Callithrix jacchus: one gene and its partners. The protein of the gene in region 1 interacts with the protein of each later gene in a biochemical or structural test. Links are inferred from orthologs where the notes say so. Each region holds a gene or a part of one and is shown in the gene's direction. Other genes may lie near its edges.

The links. The genes of interacting proteins can lie anywhere in the genome.
Region 2: the proteins of CSTA (region 1) and CTSL form a complex in vitro, tested with the Homo sapiens proteins (2 studies listed by BioGRID). The link is inferred for Callithrix jacchus from reciprocal best matches to the Homo sapiens genes CSTA and CTSL.
Region 3: the proteins of CSTA (region 1) and CTSB form a complex in vitro, tested with the Homo sapiens proteins (3 studies listed by BioGRID and IntAct, with this or other methods). The link is inferred for Callithrix jacchus from reciprocal best matches to the Homo sapiens genes CSTA and CTSB.

The regions. Positions count from the first base shown.
Region 1 is NC_133516.1:80,680,555-80,686,307, reverse strand, and holds the start of CSTA (cystatin-A), read left to right. Parts: upstream 1-2,244; 5' UTR 2,245-2,293; coding exon 2,294-2,359; intron 2,360-5,753. UniProt on the Homo sapiens protein: This is an intracellular thiol proteinase inhibitor. Has an important role in desmosome-mediated cell-cell adhesion in the lower levels of the epidermis.
Region 2 is NC_133502.1:75,731,647-75,736,252, reverse strand, and holds the end of CTSL (procathepsin L), read left to right. Parts: intron 1-107; coding exon 108-230; intron 231-331; coding exon 332-478; intron 479-660; coding exon 661-885; intron 886-1,632; coding exon 1,633-1,795; intron 1,796-2,448; coding exon 2,449-2,566; intron 2,567-3,061; coding exon 3,062-3,161; 3' UTR 3,162-3,441; downstream 3,442-4,606. UniProt on the Homo sapiens protein: Thiol protease important for the overall degradation of proteins in lysosomes. Plays a critical for normal cellular functions such as general protein turnover, antigen processing and bone remodeling.
Region 3 is NC_133514.1:10,220,366-10,225,397, forward strand, and holds the end of CTSB (cathepsin B), read left to right. Parts: coding exon 1-133; intron 134-563; coding exon 564-680; intron 681-2,174; coding exon 2,175-2,303; intron 2,304-2,598; coding exon 2,599-2,696; 3' UTR 2,697-4,570; downstream 4,571-5,032. UniProt on the Homo sapiens protein: Thiol protease which is believed to participate in intracellular degradation and turnover of proteins. Cleaves matrix extracellular phosphoglycoprotein MEPE. Involved in the solubilization of cross-linked TG/thyroglobulin in the thyroid follicle lumen.

The DNA.
Region 1 (5,753 bases):
TAAGAACTAGGATTATTATAGGAGGAATACAAAAGACAAAAGCAATATTTGCTCTGGGGAAATTTTTACTTTTAAAATAAATTATTGAGAATCAGTAGGAAAGAGCTGAGAGTACAGAGCACAGACCCTAGAAAGAGAACAGTAGACTTGCTGTTTACCATATCCCCTACCACCGGGGAGATTCAGTAAGGATAGCCTGACTAGGATGTAAGTGAAGAACTAAAAATGGGCTGCAGGCTTGAAAAAAGTCAGGGGCCTGAATATGAAAGGACTTGACTTGGGGAGGTCACATGAAGATGAATAGAACCAGTGGCCTATGAAAGCTGAACCAAAGTCTTCAGACGACCTGTGGCTTATTAAAGGAGCACCTTGTCAGCCACGTTCACTGTTCTTCTTAAACCACAGGGTAAAGGCATTCAGTGGAGAGATACCTATGTAACGCCCCTCAGTTTAGCCTATAAGACACTCACCCAGCTTCAAGAATTTGCCAAGTGCCTGTCAAACATCATTACGAAGAAACAAGCGGCTGGGCGCAGTGGCTCACACCTGTAATCCTGCACTTTGGGAGGACAAGGGGGGCGGATCACCTAAGGTCAGGAGCTTGAGACCAGCTTGGGCAATATGGTGAAAGCCCGTGTCTACTTAAAAATATACAAAAATTAGCCGGGCTTGGTGGCAGGTGCCTGTAATCCCAGCTACCTGGGAAGCTGAGGCAGGAGAATTGCCTGAACCCAGGATGCAGAGGTTGCAGTGAGCCAAGATCACACCACTACACTACAGCCTGGGTAACAGAGCAAGACTCTGTCTCAGAAAAAACAAAAGAAACAAATCTCTGTATCATGATATAGAACAATCTCTAAAATATAGTGTTAGGAATAAAACAAATAGTATAATCGTTTATGTAGAATAGCATTTGTATAGAAGAAAACCTATATACATGTATGTGTATGTATGTGTGTGTAGCCAATTATTTTTATATTTCTATGTGTAAAGAATATCTCTGAAGAATACACAAAAAGCTGGTCCCAACAGTTGACTCTGGAGAGGAGAAGGGTGTCTGGGGAATTAAGTGAGTGAATAATTCCTTACATTGTAAAGCCTGGTTCCTTCCAAACATTTTTATCCTGTGTATGTATTATATATTCCCAAAATTGAATAAAATTATATACATAAATATTCACACAACATGGCAATTTTGCTTCTAGATAAGTTGCCTGCAGAAGCCCTCACATACAAAAGGGGAAAACATGCAACATTGTTTATAAGAATGAAACACGAGAAACAACCAAAATCGTCATCAATAGGGAAATGAGTATGTAAAATATGAGCTAGCGAAGACCAATTAGACAGGTACAATAAATAGCTAGGTCTAGCACAGAATCGCATATCACAGTTAAAGGAAATGAACTGGATTGATTTATCTGTAGATTATCTATCTGTGTATCAACATGAAAAGGCTCAAAAACATGTTGAATAGAAAAAAAACCATAAATAGAATATGTTTAGCATACAATTTAAGAGAAATTTTAAAGACACAACAAGTAAAGTATAAAAATGGCCTGGAAGGATATCAACTCACAGTGCAATTTGCCCTCTGGAGAGCAAGGTTGCGTGGGGTACAGGGCTTCCTCCATAACTGAAATATTTTATTTCTTAAAAATAACTACCAAAATAAAAGACAGCAAGTAAATATGACAAAAAGGTTCAAAGTTTTAACTCTGAGTGACAGGAATACAGACATTTGTCATTTTCTTCTTTGTGTTTTTCTGTATGTTAAGCATTTCTAGATATTTAAATAAGAGTAAAGAACACATATCCAACCAATGTCCTCCAGATAGAACCTTTTGCTCTATTTCTAAAGTCAAGGAAATTCTAAACTACTCTGACATTATTAGTAAGTATTGCTTTTAAAAAATTGTGCTACAAGTTTTAAAACATTTGGAAATTCTGGTTGTGGCTTCAGATTTCATAGTTCAGATGATGCAACAGGATGGAACCATTGTCAAAGAGAAGGCAGGGGCGTTTCATCTTGTTAGGACTTGACTCCTGTACTTGCCCATTTGTTCATCCATCAACCCTCTTTCCTCCAAATTCCACGTAGCATATTCTGTCCAGGAAGCAAGAAGATTTGCTTGGAGGCATACTCATTTTCCCCATGCCTCTTTGCTCTCTGTGGAAAATAAAGCATTTTATAGGCGGAGCTAATGAACACCTCTTTTAAAACCCAAGTCTCCATGCTTCCCTGTTCACTTTGGTTCCAACATTCTGCCTAGCAAAGAAGCAGTCAGTCAAAATGATACCCGGAGGCTTATCTGAGGCCAAACCCGCCACTCCAGAAATTCAGGAGATTGTTGATAAGGTGAGTTGATTCCATTCAGGAAAAAGTCTGAGCTGAAATCTTGATTCATAGGTTGTCACTGTGGAAAGGATGTGGTTGAACATGAAAACCAGAACTTCAGGATGTGTATGGCTTTGTTCAGGTTTCTTTTCAACTATGATGAAATAAAGTTGTTTCTTCTTTTCAGATGAAACCTCAAATAACCCCCAAACTGTGAGTGTGACCTTGAGCAAATCACATTTCTTCTCTGAGCTTCATTTTCTCCATTTGTAAAAGAATAATTTGTATTGTATCATCTTTAAAGCTCTTACAAGATATGATTCTAGGATTACTAATTCAGTTTCTGATGAAACTTTTCTAATCTCACCAAGTGAAGCCAACGTGTAATTGAAGACTAAGGTTGTTAATAATTTGATTAAGTAGACTTGGAACCCACTGCGGGGAATTTTTTAAAAATCGATTGAATGAAGAATAACATTGTAAAGGCAATCTACTTACAAACTTCATACACGTTTGCTTAAATAGACACTGTTTTAGTCTTTTCATAGTTAAAGGATGATTAAACAAATGGAGAAGAGAAGTGACAGTCTCTAGTGACTCCAAAGTATCATAGGCTGCCAAATTATATATGGAAAAATAGAACTCAATGTTGTTAGCAGATTGATACATTTTTATTTCCTTCTGTTTTGTTTTGCTTTGTTTTTAAGAGACGGGGTCTCACTCTGTCATCCAGGCTGGAGTGCAATAGTGTGATCACAGCTCGCTGTAACCTCAACTTCTCGAGCTCAAGCAATCCTCCCCACTCAGCCTCATGAGTAGCTGGATTACAGACACATGCCACTACACTTGGCTGATTTTGGGGATTAGTTTTGTTTTGTTTTTGGAGATGGAGTTTTATTTTGTTGCCTAGACTGGTCTTGAATTCCCGGGCTCAAGCCATCTGCTCACCTAAGCTTCCCAAAATATTGTGATTACAGGTATGAGCCACCACACCCAGTCCTGATATATTTTTCTAAGTGCTGTTTGATTAGATATCATCTATATAGTAAACATTTATTTGCATATTTTGTGAAAGAAAAACATGTACAAATTATTATTTTAGCTTTTTAGTTTGTTGCCATATTTTCTTGTGTCAGAAAAAAGGACATTTTCAGGATAATTGGCAAAATTCTAAGAAGGTGTAGAGACTACTTAATAGTATTATTCTTGTTTTTTCTCTCTGAAACATCATTCTATGACAGCTTGGCAAACAAGATCAGCTTTTTGTGTGATTATAAGAGTTGGGCTCTTGTATATTCGGGAAACTAGAAAGCTCTCTAAGGGGCCAGATGCCTAGAATCCCATCACTCATTCTTAGGGACTAATTATTTCTATTTCAAGAGTTCTTTTTTTCTTTTAATGAATAAATATCCTGAAGATTTTTCTTTCTGGGAGAAGATGATATTAAGTCAGTAATTCCTTCATGTGAATTCCCCTATCAGATCAATGTTCTCAAACTTGAAGGTGCACATGAATCACTTGCAAGTCTTGATAAACCTGATTCAGGGGGCCTGGGGTAGGTCTGAGATTCTGCATTTCTACCAGGCTCCCAATTGCTGCTGCTGCTGCTGCTCTCCATGACCTCACTTGCCTGCAGGACCAGAGATATATGGCATCCTATGAGGCCAGTAAGAGACGGGGCTTTAAAAGTCAGGTTGCCAAAAATAAAACCTGGCTATTTCATTTGAAAAATGAAGGTAACACCATCAATTTCAGAGCTGAAAGGACTGAGATAATGTGCATAAAAAGGACTTGAAAATGAAAAAGAAATGTGCATAGGTGAGGCAACACAATTGTTTACTTCAGATTTGTGGCTAAAATCATCTCCGACCCTAAAAAAGCCCCCCTGAGACTCTCTAAGAATCAGAGCTGTAGGAAGATACAGAAAAATAAATTTGAAATAGAGAGAGTGCAGAAATTTTTAATGATTTTTAAAAGCCTATCACTTGATTAGCAAGAACTATTTATTTTTAAAATAAGAAGCTACCAGAAGGCCTTGCGTTGTTAATAACACCTATCTGTATGATTTGTTCTTAGTTACTGAAGTGCCTAAAAAAAAAAACACCTATCTGTGAGTCTCATCTTAAATTATAAAATTAATTTGAAAGTGTGTGTAGATGTGGGCTGCTTCCCTTGAACTCCAACTTCATCAGAGAGGTGGAATGAGAGATAAGTATTAACAACAGCTCCCTCGCCCCAGAAAGAGGCTTTGCAGTTTTAAAAACTTGATCTGACCTCCATTCAAAGTCTCATTTGATCTTCATAGCCCCTGGGACAGGCAGGGAAGTATTATGTCTATCTTATAGATGATGAAACCAAGATTCAAAGAGATTAAGAGTCACCTAGTTAAGAAGTTAACTCACCCTCAGTGTTTGACGGCCTGCCCTCTCCACCACACAGTGGCAGAACACAGAGGAAATTAGTTAGGAAAGGGAAATACGCTGAGTGGAGAGAGTGTGGTAAGTTTGTCTTCTCTGTAGAAGTGAGTGGAGAGAGTGTGGTAAGTTTGTCTTCTCTGTAGAAGCACCAGCCTCACATGTAAGTCAACATAGGAAGCCAAGGCGGGTGGATCACGTGAGGTCAGGAGTTAGAAATCAGCCTGGCCAACATGGCAAAACCTGTCTCTACTAATAATACAAAAATTAGCTGGACATGGTGGCAGGCACCTGTAATCCCAGCTACTTGGGAGGCTAAGGCAGGAGAATCGCTTGAGCCTGGGAGGCAGAAGTTGCAGTGAGCCAAGATCGTGCCACTGCACTTTAGCCTGGATGACAGAGCGAGACTCCATCTCAAAAAATTAAAAAATTTTGAAGTCATTAGAGAGCTGGGTGCGGTGGCTCATGGCTGTAACCTAGGCATTTTAGGAGGCTGAGGCGGACAGATTGCTTGATCTGGGGAGTTTAAGGGCATCATGACAAAATCCCATCTCTACCCAAACACAAAATACAAAAAAATAGCCAGTGGTACACGCCTGTAGTCCCAGCTACTTGGGAGGCTTAGGCAGAAGGACCACTTGCACCCAGGAAGTTGAGGATGCAGTGAGCCGTGACCACGTCACTGCACTCCAGCCTGGCCAACAAAGCAATACTCTGTCTCAAAATAAATAAATAAATAAATATAGGAAATGAATACCAATGAATCATTTCACGGTAGGTGCATTTCTTGTAAGTCTCTTAAGTGTCTAACATTATGCTAATTATTATGGAAGCTACATAAGGGCTGTAAGATATGGCCCCTGGCCTCTAAGAGTTTTACAGGGTAGTCGGGAAAACTGAGATATCTGGAACATAATAGAAAAAATATTCAAGTGAGTATTTTTTTTTTGAGTGTGTGAGACGGAGTCTCTCTCTGTCACCCAGGCTGGAGTACAGTGGCA
Region 2 (4,606 bases), on another chromosome or scaffold:
TTCCCTTGCCATGGTTTCTCTTCCATCTCTGTCTGCAGATTCACTTGGTGAGCATGAGTTGGGTTTCAGGTAGTTATAAAGAGCATCAGTTACATATTTTCCTCTAGAATGAAGAAGAATGGAGGAGAGCAGTGTGGGAGAAGAACATGAAGATGATTGAACTGCACAATCATGAATACAACCAAGGGAAACACAGCTTCACAATGGCCATGAACGCCTTTGGAGACATGGTGAGTGTGCTGTGGACTGCTGAACTCCTGTGCTTCCCCTCCTCCCTTTTGTACCAAAGTAATCTCTTGCTCTGCAACATTTTGTTTACTTTTCCTTGAAGACCAATGAAGAATTCAGGCAGGTGATGAATGGCTTTCAAAACCGTAAGCCCAGGAACGGGAAGGTGTTCCAGGAACCTCTGTTTCATGAGGCCCCCAGATCTGTGGATTGGAGAGAGAAAGGCTACGTGACTCCTGTGAAGAATCAGGTGAGACAGTGTTAGGTTCAGACCTCCCATCTTCCCAGGAAAGCCAAGAAGCGATTGACATCTTTGTTTTGGTAGACTTTAAAGCGATGTGCAGTTCACTTTTTAAGAGTATTCAGATATGTGAGCTGTAAAGTCTTACTATTTGTTTTTGCAAATGACAGCTTTTTAAATTTCCTCTTTAGGGTCAGTGTGGTTCTTGTTGGGCTTTTAGCGCGACTGGTGCTCTTGAAGGACAGATGTTCCGGAAAACTGGGAAACTTGTCTCACTGAGTGAACAGAATCTGGTAGACTGCTCTGGGCCTCAAGGCAATCAGGGCTGCGATGGTGGCCTAATGGATTATGCCTTCCAGTATGTTCAGGAGAACGGAGGCCTGGACTCTGAGGAATCCTATCCATATGAGGCAACAGTAAGTGGAGCTCTTCATCTTATCATTCCAGCTCAGCTTCTGGAAAGTGGAACACTTTCAGAGATAACAGATACCTTTTTCAGAATTAATATATTAGGGCTGGATGGGGTGGCTCACACCTGTAATCCCAGCACTTTAGGAGGCTGAGCCGGGCAGATCGCTTGAGCTCAGGACCAGCCTAGGCAACAAGGTAAAACCCTGACTCTATCAAAAATAATAAAATTAGCCGTCTGGGGTGATGTGCATCTGTGGTACCAGCTAGGCTGAGGTAGGAGGATTGCTTAAGCCTGGGAGGTGGTTATGCAAATGCACTCCTGTCTGAGTGACAGAGTGAGACCCTGTCTCAAAAAAAAAGAGGGAAAAAAAAAATTCACAGATGGTAGAATCTATCTGCAAATTGTCAGTACTGTCATTATAAATTATTAAGCCTTTGTGCAGTCCGGTGATTAGATGGTTAACAGACAACTGTTCTTGCTTCTATGTAATATGAAGAGTATACAAACCATTCTACATCTACACATTTCTTTATTGTGAAAAATTTCTTATGGTAATAAACCTGGGGTCTCATGGAAGAGACTGGAGCCAATTTTCAGTTTCAAATTAACTAACAGCATTTCACGCCCTGGGATGATTTATAACAATGGTGACTTGGAAATCCTAAGCTGCAAACTGCTGAGTGTTGTGGTTCTAACTCCTGTTGCCCAGGAGAGCAGTAATCAAGTCCTTTTTGCCCTTTATCTTTGAAAGGAAGAATCCTGTAAGTACAATCCCGAGTATTCTGTTGCTAATGACACTGGCTTTGTGGACATCCCTAAGCTGGAGAAGGCCCTGATGAAGGCAGTTGCAACTGTGGGGCCCATTTCTGTTGCTATTGATGCAGGTCACGAGTCCTTCCAGTTTTATAAAGAAGGTAAGTATTTTTTTCTTTGTAGAAATTGATGCAGAAAGAGAGTATGACATACTAGCATGATAGACTCTGGTTTGTAAAGTTCAATGTAGATACTTAGGTGCTTAGCATCATAGCTATTAATTCTGTACATGCAGTATTTATACCTGATGTTTCCATTTGACATGTTGAACACATCTCCATGAATATAAGTACTTTGTAACTTTTTATAAATTACAAATACCCAGCTATATTATTTACTGGGTAGTTTAATATACTTAAATATTCTGTGATTGTCGAATTTTTGTAATTTTTACAAAGATTTTACTTCTGTTTTTAAATCCGAGAAGAGCCTTTTGATTCAAGGATTTTGGTGTTCTATGCTGTGTTTTTAGATTGATAGCCTAGAGTAGAATTACAAGCTTTCAAAGAATGGTCCTTTATTCCCTTAGCAAAGTCTTTATATGAAGGATTTATGTTGATTTCTATTTCTGCTAGTTGTAGATGAGAGCCTAAATCCCTAGCCTTGACAACAATAGATCTAATTGTTAAGTACTATCTAGAATGTGTGTCACTTCACTGAATTCAGAGATGCCTCATTCCCTGTGGGTGACAGGATGGGTTACTGTCATGGTCCTCTGCAGCTTCTCACCCCAGCCTTCATTTTACTATCCCAGGCATTTATTTTGAGCCAGAATGTAGCAGTGAAGACATGGATCATGGTGTGCTGGTGGTTGGCTATGGATTTGAAAGAACAGGATCAGATAACAGTAAATATTGGCTGGTGAAGAACAGGTATAAATTGCCAATAATACTTATATTTGAAATTCAAAAGAGAGTACTTATTTGCAATCAGTGTTTGTATAGTTTCACATGCCCTTAGGCATACTTCTGAAATCCCAGAACTCTAAGTTGAACATAGAATGTTAATGTTGGATTATAAAGGTAAGGATGCTGGGTGTATTAATATAGTATTTGTACCATTGTACAAATGTGTATCTAAATCTGAACATTTTCTTAATTCTGAGGCATATCTGGCTGCAAAGACATCCTATTCCTTTCCTGTCTCTGATTGGCAGTTCTGTGAAATGTCATAGTTTTGAGACTGGGATGGAAGTTATGTGCAGATTCAGCCTCAATAATTTTTTAAGGATAAACAGGAACATGGCCTCTCTTGATTCTTTCTGTTAAGTCTGTGGCCTCTGGCACAGTGTTTAAGTTGGATGTTCCTGTTAATAACCCTTTGGGCTTTATTCTTTCTCTGACACGGAAAACCTGCTGTTTTTTCAGCTGGGGTGAAAAATGGGGCATGGATGGTTACATAAAGATGGCCAAAGACCGGAAAAACCACTGTGGAATTGCCTCAGCAGCCAGCTACCCCACTGTATGAGCTGATGGACAGTGATGAGGAAGGACTTGACTGGGGATGGTGCATGCATGGGAGTTCATCTCAATCTTCCAGCCCCTGCTGTGATGGATACACACTCGAATCATTGAAGATCCAAGTGTGATTTGAATTCTGTGATATTTTCACACTGGTAAATGTTACCTCTATTTTAATTACTCTATAAATAGGTTTATATTATTGATTTGCTTACTGACTTTGCATTTTTGTTTTTAAAAGGATGTGTAAATTTTTACCTGATTAAATAAATGTAATTTCAAATGTAGTGGCAAGGCTTCTTTCTATTTTTGATGCACTGAATTTTTGTGTAATAAAAAACATAATTAGGCTGTAAGCCCTACCTGCTGCCAGTGGCTCTCTAGGAGGAAGAGTGGGCGACCTTCTGGGTCTTCTAATTACAAACGTACAGATCTCACATCAGCTGCCCAGTGGCTGTGTCTGAGTCTGACTCAATCGTTGATTGGAGCAAAATTTGAAAATGATCTCTGAGGACAAAGGAAAATTGTTTGAATAAAGAAAAAAATTCACTTTTTAGAAAGGTGAACAGACATATATATGATTTTAATACTAGAAAAAGACCTTAGTGATTGTGTTTATTTCACCCAAGTTGGTTGCATCTTTAGTCAAGTTACAGGACAAAGGTCTCAGAGCCTATTTCTGGATCATCTTATCCCACTGCTGGTGAAGACCCTGTTGACACTTTGCAGTCGAGTTGGGTTAGGAACGAGTGCATTGCCAAGGCTGTTTGTTTTTGGGTCCTCAAGGGATGAGGAATAAACTTCAGGATTTCAGGCTGGGATTCAGAAATGGTGCTCTGGTGTCAGAAGGCAAAAGACAGGTGAGAGGCTCAGAAATGATCATCTGTCCCCCATTTAGAGCAAATTACCTGTAAACACCTGAATTACTGCTTAAATAAAAAAACTTCCCACATTGTACTAGCTAAACAGCCCATACTTCCATCACCTGTGTGTTTTCAGAAGTCTCATGTTCCAACTGAAGGAAATAGAAAGAACAGGTGAGACTGTTTAGTGACTAGACTACGTAATCCCAGAGGAGGGAAACCAGATGCCCAGTGGAGTCTCAGCTCAGAAAGCATGCAGCAGGGTCTGTCCAGTTCTGTCTGGATTGGACCATGTGCCATGCTGGATTCTCATGTGCCCTTTCTGAGTAGTTGCTAAAATTTCAAAGTTTTTGGCCTAAAATGACAAATATGGCATCTGTGAAATTCTTTGGGTTTTGTAATAAAAGTCACCAGTGGTAGCAAGAAGATTTAGGGAGGTTCCCAAGCTAAATCCCTCGTTCAGGTTGAAGCTTAGATTTGAGACAACTAGAATTTATATACAATACCCACTGCGTGCTGGTCATCACTACTATGGAAGAGACACACCCTGACCTCAAGGAATTGAACTGTTAGGGATCAGGGAGGGCTT
Region 3 (5,032 bases), on another chromosome or scaffold:
TACTCCATCCCTCCCTGTGAGCACCACGTCAACGGCTCCCGGCCCCCATGCACGGGGGAGGGCGACACCCCCAAGTGTAGCAAGAGCTGCGAGCCTGGCTACAGCCCAACCTACAAGCAGGACAAGCACTACGGTAAGGGGCGGGAACAGCCTGGGAGCCGCTGCGGGGAAGAGGGCAGGGCCCAAGAGCCCTAGGATGGAGACGGCAGCGGGGGTGATTCAGCAGCACACAGTGCACCTTCTGCCTGATCCACTGTGAACTCAGCCTCCACCCTCCCAACCTGGAAGGGACCAAAGCTGTCATTTTATAAGAGAAGGCATGTCCTGGAGTCCTGGGTACCTTGGCCTGTTCTGGGGCCTCGTGCTCACGGCTCCCCTCTTCCTCCTGAGCTTCCAGCCTTAGCCTCTTCCTTACTTCCTCTGGGGAGCCTGCAATGAACCCCCTGGGTGGGCAGGTCCCTTTGATGCAGTCTTCCCCTAGAGGCCCCCCAGGAATCAGTGAGTGGCGCGGCAGGAGGCACTGTCACTGCGCTCCCCAACCCCTGGCTCGGTCCATTTTCCAGGATACGATTCCTACAGCGTCTCAAACAATGAGAGGGACATCATGGCCGAGATCTACAAAAACGGCCCTGTGGAGGGAGCCTTCTCTGTGTACGCAGACTTCCTGCTGTACAAGTCAGGTGCGTGCTGATGTCCGACAGCAGCGGTGGGTGGGGGTCAGGGGAGGTGGGTTCAGGTAGGCCAGTAGGACTTGATCGGGGCAGGCAGGTGAGGGGCTGGGGAGAGGGCTGTGTGGGGCCCTTACAATTCTGTCTACCTTCTGTGCCACTTGCCTTTCATCTGTGTTGTGCACAGAGAATTCTGGAGGCATCTTGGCTAGTTCTTTCCCATCCCTTAGGAGCCAGCTCACATGTCTTCTCTGTGGAGGTGTCCCCTCGCTGGCGGCTGGCCACACCTGCCCTTGCCGTCATGGCGTTCCATTCTTTCCCAGCATGTTCTCCTTATAAGGGCAGGTCTTCCTTGTCTGCACTGGGTGACACACTTTATTCATCTGTGTCTTTGCAAAGGTGTAGATCATGTGTCACCCTCGTGCATGAACACACAGGGAGGACCTTGCCCTGGGCAGTGCCATAGGGACTCGAACGAAGGAAACTGGATAGTCTTTACCCCCAAGTACTGTCTTAGAAATCTCTCCTCCAGTAGGCTGGGCACGGTGGGTCGTGCCTGTAACCCCACACTTTGGGTGGCTGAGATGGGCAGATCATGAGGTCGTGAGATCAAGACCATCCCGGCCAACATGGTGAAACCCCATCTCTACTAAAATACAAAAAATGAGCTAGGCATGGTGGTGTGCACCTGTAGTCCCAGCTAGTCACTACTCAGGTGGCTAAGGCTGGGGAATTGCTTGAACCCAGGAGGCGGAGGTTACAGTGAACTGAAATCAGGCCACTGCACCCCAGCCTGGGCAACAGAGCAGGACTCCATCTCAAACAAATATCTTGCTGCAGAAGCAGTCTTTGCTGAGTCTCATTAATATTTTGCTAGATTGGAAACTCCAGAGCTCTCAGCTCTTATAAAACAGTTTGACAAAGGAAAATGATTCTGGCAAGAAAAAAATGACTAAAGATGGTGGTTCTTAGCACAGTCCTCGCCCATATTGTTAAAAAATGCGTTTCTATTTGACAGTGATTTCCCTGCTGGGGCGAACCTGGTTGGGCAGCGCTGAGCATCTTAGCTGGCCTCTTTCCCATCTAATATTGGCCACCACCAGCCCTCCCTTTTCTCCTCTGTCACCTCTCCAGGGTGTACCCAGAGCAGCTATTTTAAAACTTAGCGCCCAGGCTGGGGTGCAGTGGTATGATCTCAGCTCATTGCAACCTCTGCCTCTTGAGTAGCTGGGACTACAGGTGGGCACCACCATGCCCAGCTAATTTTTGATTTTTAGTAGAGACAGCGTTTCACCATGTTGGTCAGGCTGGTCTAGAACTCCTGATCCACCCGCCTCAGCCTCCCAAAGTGCTGGGATTACAGGCATGACCCTCTGCACCCGGCCTTAAAACTCTTTAAGCCATGTAACCCTTTTGACAAGCCCTTAGTTTCTCCTGCCCGGAGGGGTGCTGTGGGGCACGGGGCAGTGGCCGGGTCTCACTTCTGACCGGTTCTTCCCAACTCAGGAGTATACCAGCATGTCACTGGCGAGATGATGGGCGGCCACGCCATCCGCATCCTGGGCTGGGGCGTGGAGAATGGCACGCCCTACTGGCTGGTTGGCAACTCCTGGAACACTGACTGGGGTGACAACGGTGAGTGGTGGGGAACTGGGAGCCACACGCAGTGGCCATCTTGGCTTTCTCTGTTCTACCTGCTGCACAGCCTCAAACTGTGGACCTAGGCCAGGCTGTGAGCTCCTTCTAAATGCCAGAGGCCAGGATGGGAAGGGTGATGCGGGCGGAGGTGTGCCCCATGGTGTGAGGGCCGCGCTACTGAGCAAACAGCAGGAGCTGTCGGGGGTTAGAGACTTACTCCCAGCTTTTTTAGGGATGAGTCTGAATATACCGACCCTTGTCACATTTTAAAAGCACCTTTTTTTATTCCCAGGCTTCTTTAAAATCCTCAGAGGACAGGATCACTGTGGAATCGAATCAGAAGTGGTGGCTGGAATTCCACGCACCGATCAGTACTGGAGAAATATCTAATCTGCTGTGGTCCTGTCCTGGGGTAGTTTTCCCTGCACAGAGTCAGGGATGGGGGTAGAAATGTCTTAATCTTTGCGTCCCTGTAAGATACAGGGCCTAAAGAACTGGACTGGCCAAACCTCATATCAACCATCAGAGCTGTTTTCCAAGGAGACTCCCGGCTACCTCCGAGCCTGCTCAGTGGACTGATGGCTGCAGTGTAGACAGTTAAGCCACGTGAGCCACTGCTGCCAGCACGGAGCTCCTTTCCCCATGACTAGTGCTGTAGGGAGTGCCTGCTGCCCCATCCCTGATCCATCCATCTCCAGGAGCAAGACGGAGGCTCAGGAATAGAAAGCAGAGTTCCTATCAGGATTCAAGTTCCCCCCTCAGCAGTACCTCTAAGCAAGTAGCTTTCTACATTTGCTCCAAGATCAGAGGACAGATGGTGTTTGGAGCCCTGTGGAGAAGCCACATTCTCCCAGGGCCCCTGCATCTGTCGAGGTTTGCAGTGTCAGAAACTCTGATCTTGGCCTCAGCATGATTCTTTTTTAATAGTTTTCTTTTTCGTGCACACTGCTGGTCACGCGGATAAAGGAGTGCAACAGTGGGAGGCCGTGCTAGTTTACAGATTGCCTCCTAACAGCATGGCTCAGAACGAAACCTAGTGGCTGTGACTTGCTTCCGACCCTGATCTCTACTACCACCATGAAACTAGTGTAGGAGAAACCAGCTTTTACTGTTTTTCAAAAATTCCTGCTTCACGCTGTCAAGTTAAGGAATGCCTGTGCCAATAAAAGGTTTGTCCTTCAACTCAAAGTCGGCTCTGATGGCATCTCAGAGGTCATTTGTCACTGCCATCCTCAGCCCTGCAGAGAATCACACCCAGGGACTGCATGCCCTCAGGATTCTTGGGACCTCAGCTTAACTTCCCACTGCATCCCCATCAACCATCTGTGTAAGTCCTTGATGAGCTTGCCCTTAAGAACTAACTACAGAGCTGTGGTGGTGGTTTTTTTTTTTTTTTTGAGACAGAATCTCACTTTGTCATCGGCGATGGAGTGCAGTGGTGCAAATTCAGCTAACTGAAACCTGCACCGCCTAGGTTCTAGCTATTCTCCTGCTTCAAACTCCCGAGTAGCTGGGATTACAGGTACCCACCACCATGCCAAACTAATTTTTATATTTTTAAGTATATACAAGGTTTGACCATGTTGGCCAGGCCAATTTCAAACTCCTGGCCTCAAGCTGGTCCACCCATCTCAGCTTCCCAAAGTGCTGGGATTACAGGGTGAGCCACCGTGCCTGGCCTCTATTTTTTATTAGCCACAAATCCAGCAGTGACCTGAGAATTCTCATGAAACAGGCCTGGTATCTTGGTGATCTCACATAACCAAGATGCCATCCCGTGGAGGGCCACATCCCCCAGATGCCTTCCAGAGGGGCCGAGTCAGCCTGTACACAGTATTTTGAATCTGTATGCCACTGGTTTGCATTGCTGGTCAAGAAGTCTCGTGCTCTGCATAGGCCTGGTTTAGAATCGTTTTACACCAGTTCTTGCAAGAGTAGAGGAATCTCGAAGAACCAGCGGTCACTCTACTGTCCTGTCAAGATACACCTCAGTATCACCCTTCCCTACTGAGGCTGGATGGGGCTAGCTCTTTCCAAAAGCATTCAAGTTTTGCTTCTGATGTGACCCAGAAGTTAGGAATCAGAAGCTCAATCAAATAAGCTCTGAAACTCTGAGAAACATTGCAGGGAACAGTTGTGAGGCCCATCACGGCACTTGAGAGATGCTTAACAAGGGTTACCAGAGCCGCAGATTCATAACCGCTTATTCTTCCAGCTTCTCCTAGAATATATTCATAACCTCAATAAAGTTCTACCTGCTCCCAGATTGGGTTGAATCATTCCACTCACACTGCCTCCCTCACCTCCATCGAGTACGCACCTGCAACTCCATCCCTGCCTGGAGCTAGTGAAGTGACAGAAGGAACTGTGGGGCATTTCAACCTCAGCTTAGGGCTGTCAGAAAAACCTGCCTTGCAGTGTCTGTCTGGGACACAGCTCAGTGCTTCAGTACACCTCAGATTACCCCAGTAACATGACAGGTGGAGGTAACAATACCTTTTCAGTGTTTACCCATAGAAAGGCTGCTTTGACACACTCCAGAATGGAAATCGAAGTATAGATAGGCAATCCAAGTCTCACTGTGTCACCCAGGCTGGAGTGCAGTGGCGCAGTTTTGGCTCACTGCAACCTCTGCCTCCTGAGTTCAGGCGATCCTCCTGCATAGCTGGCACCTGCCACCACACCTGGCTAAATTTTGTATTTTTAGTAGAGACGGGGTTTTGCCA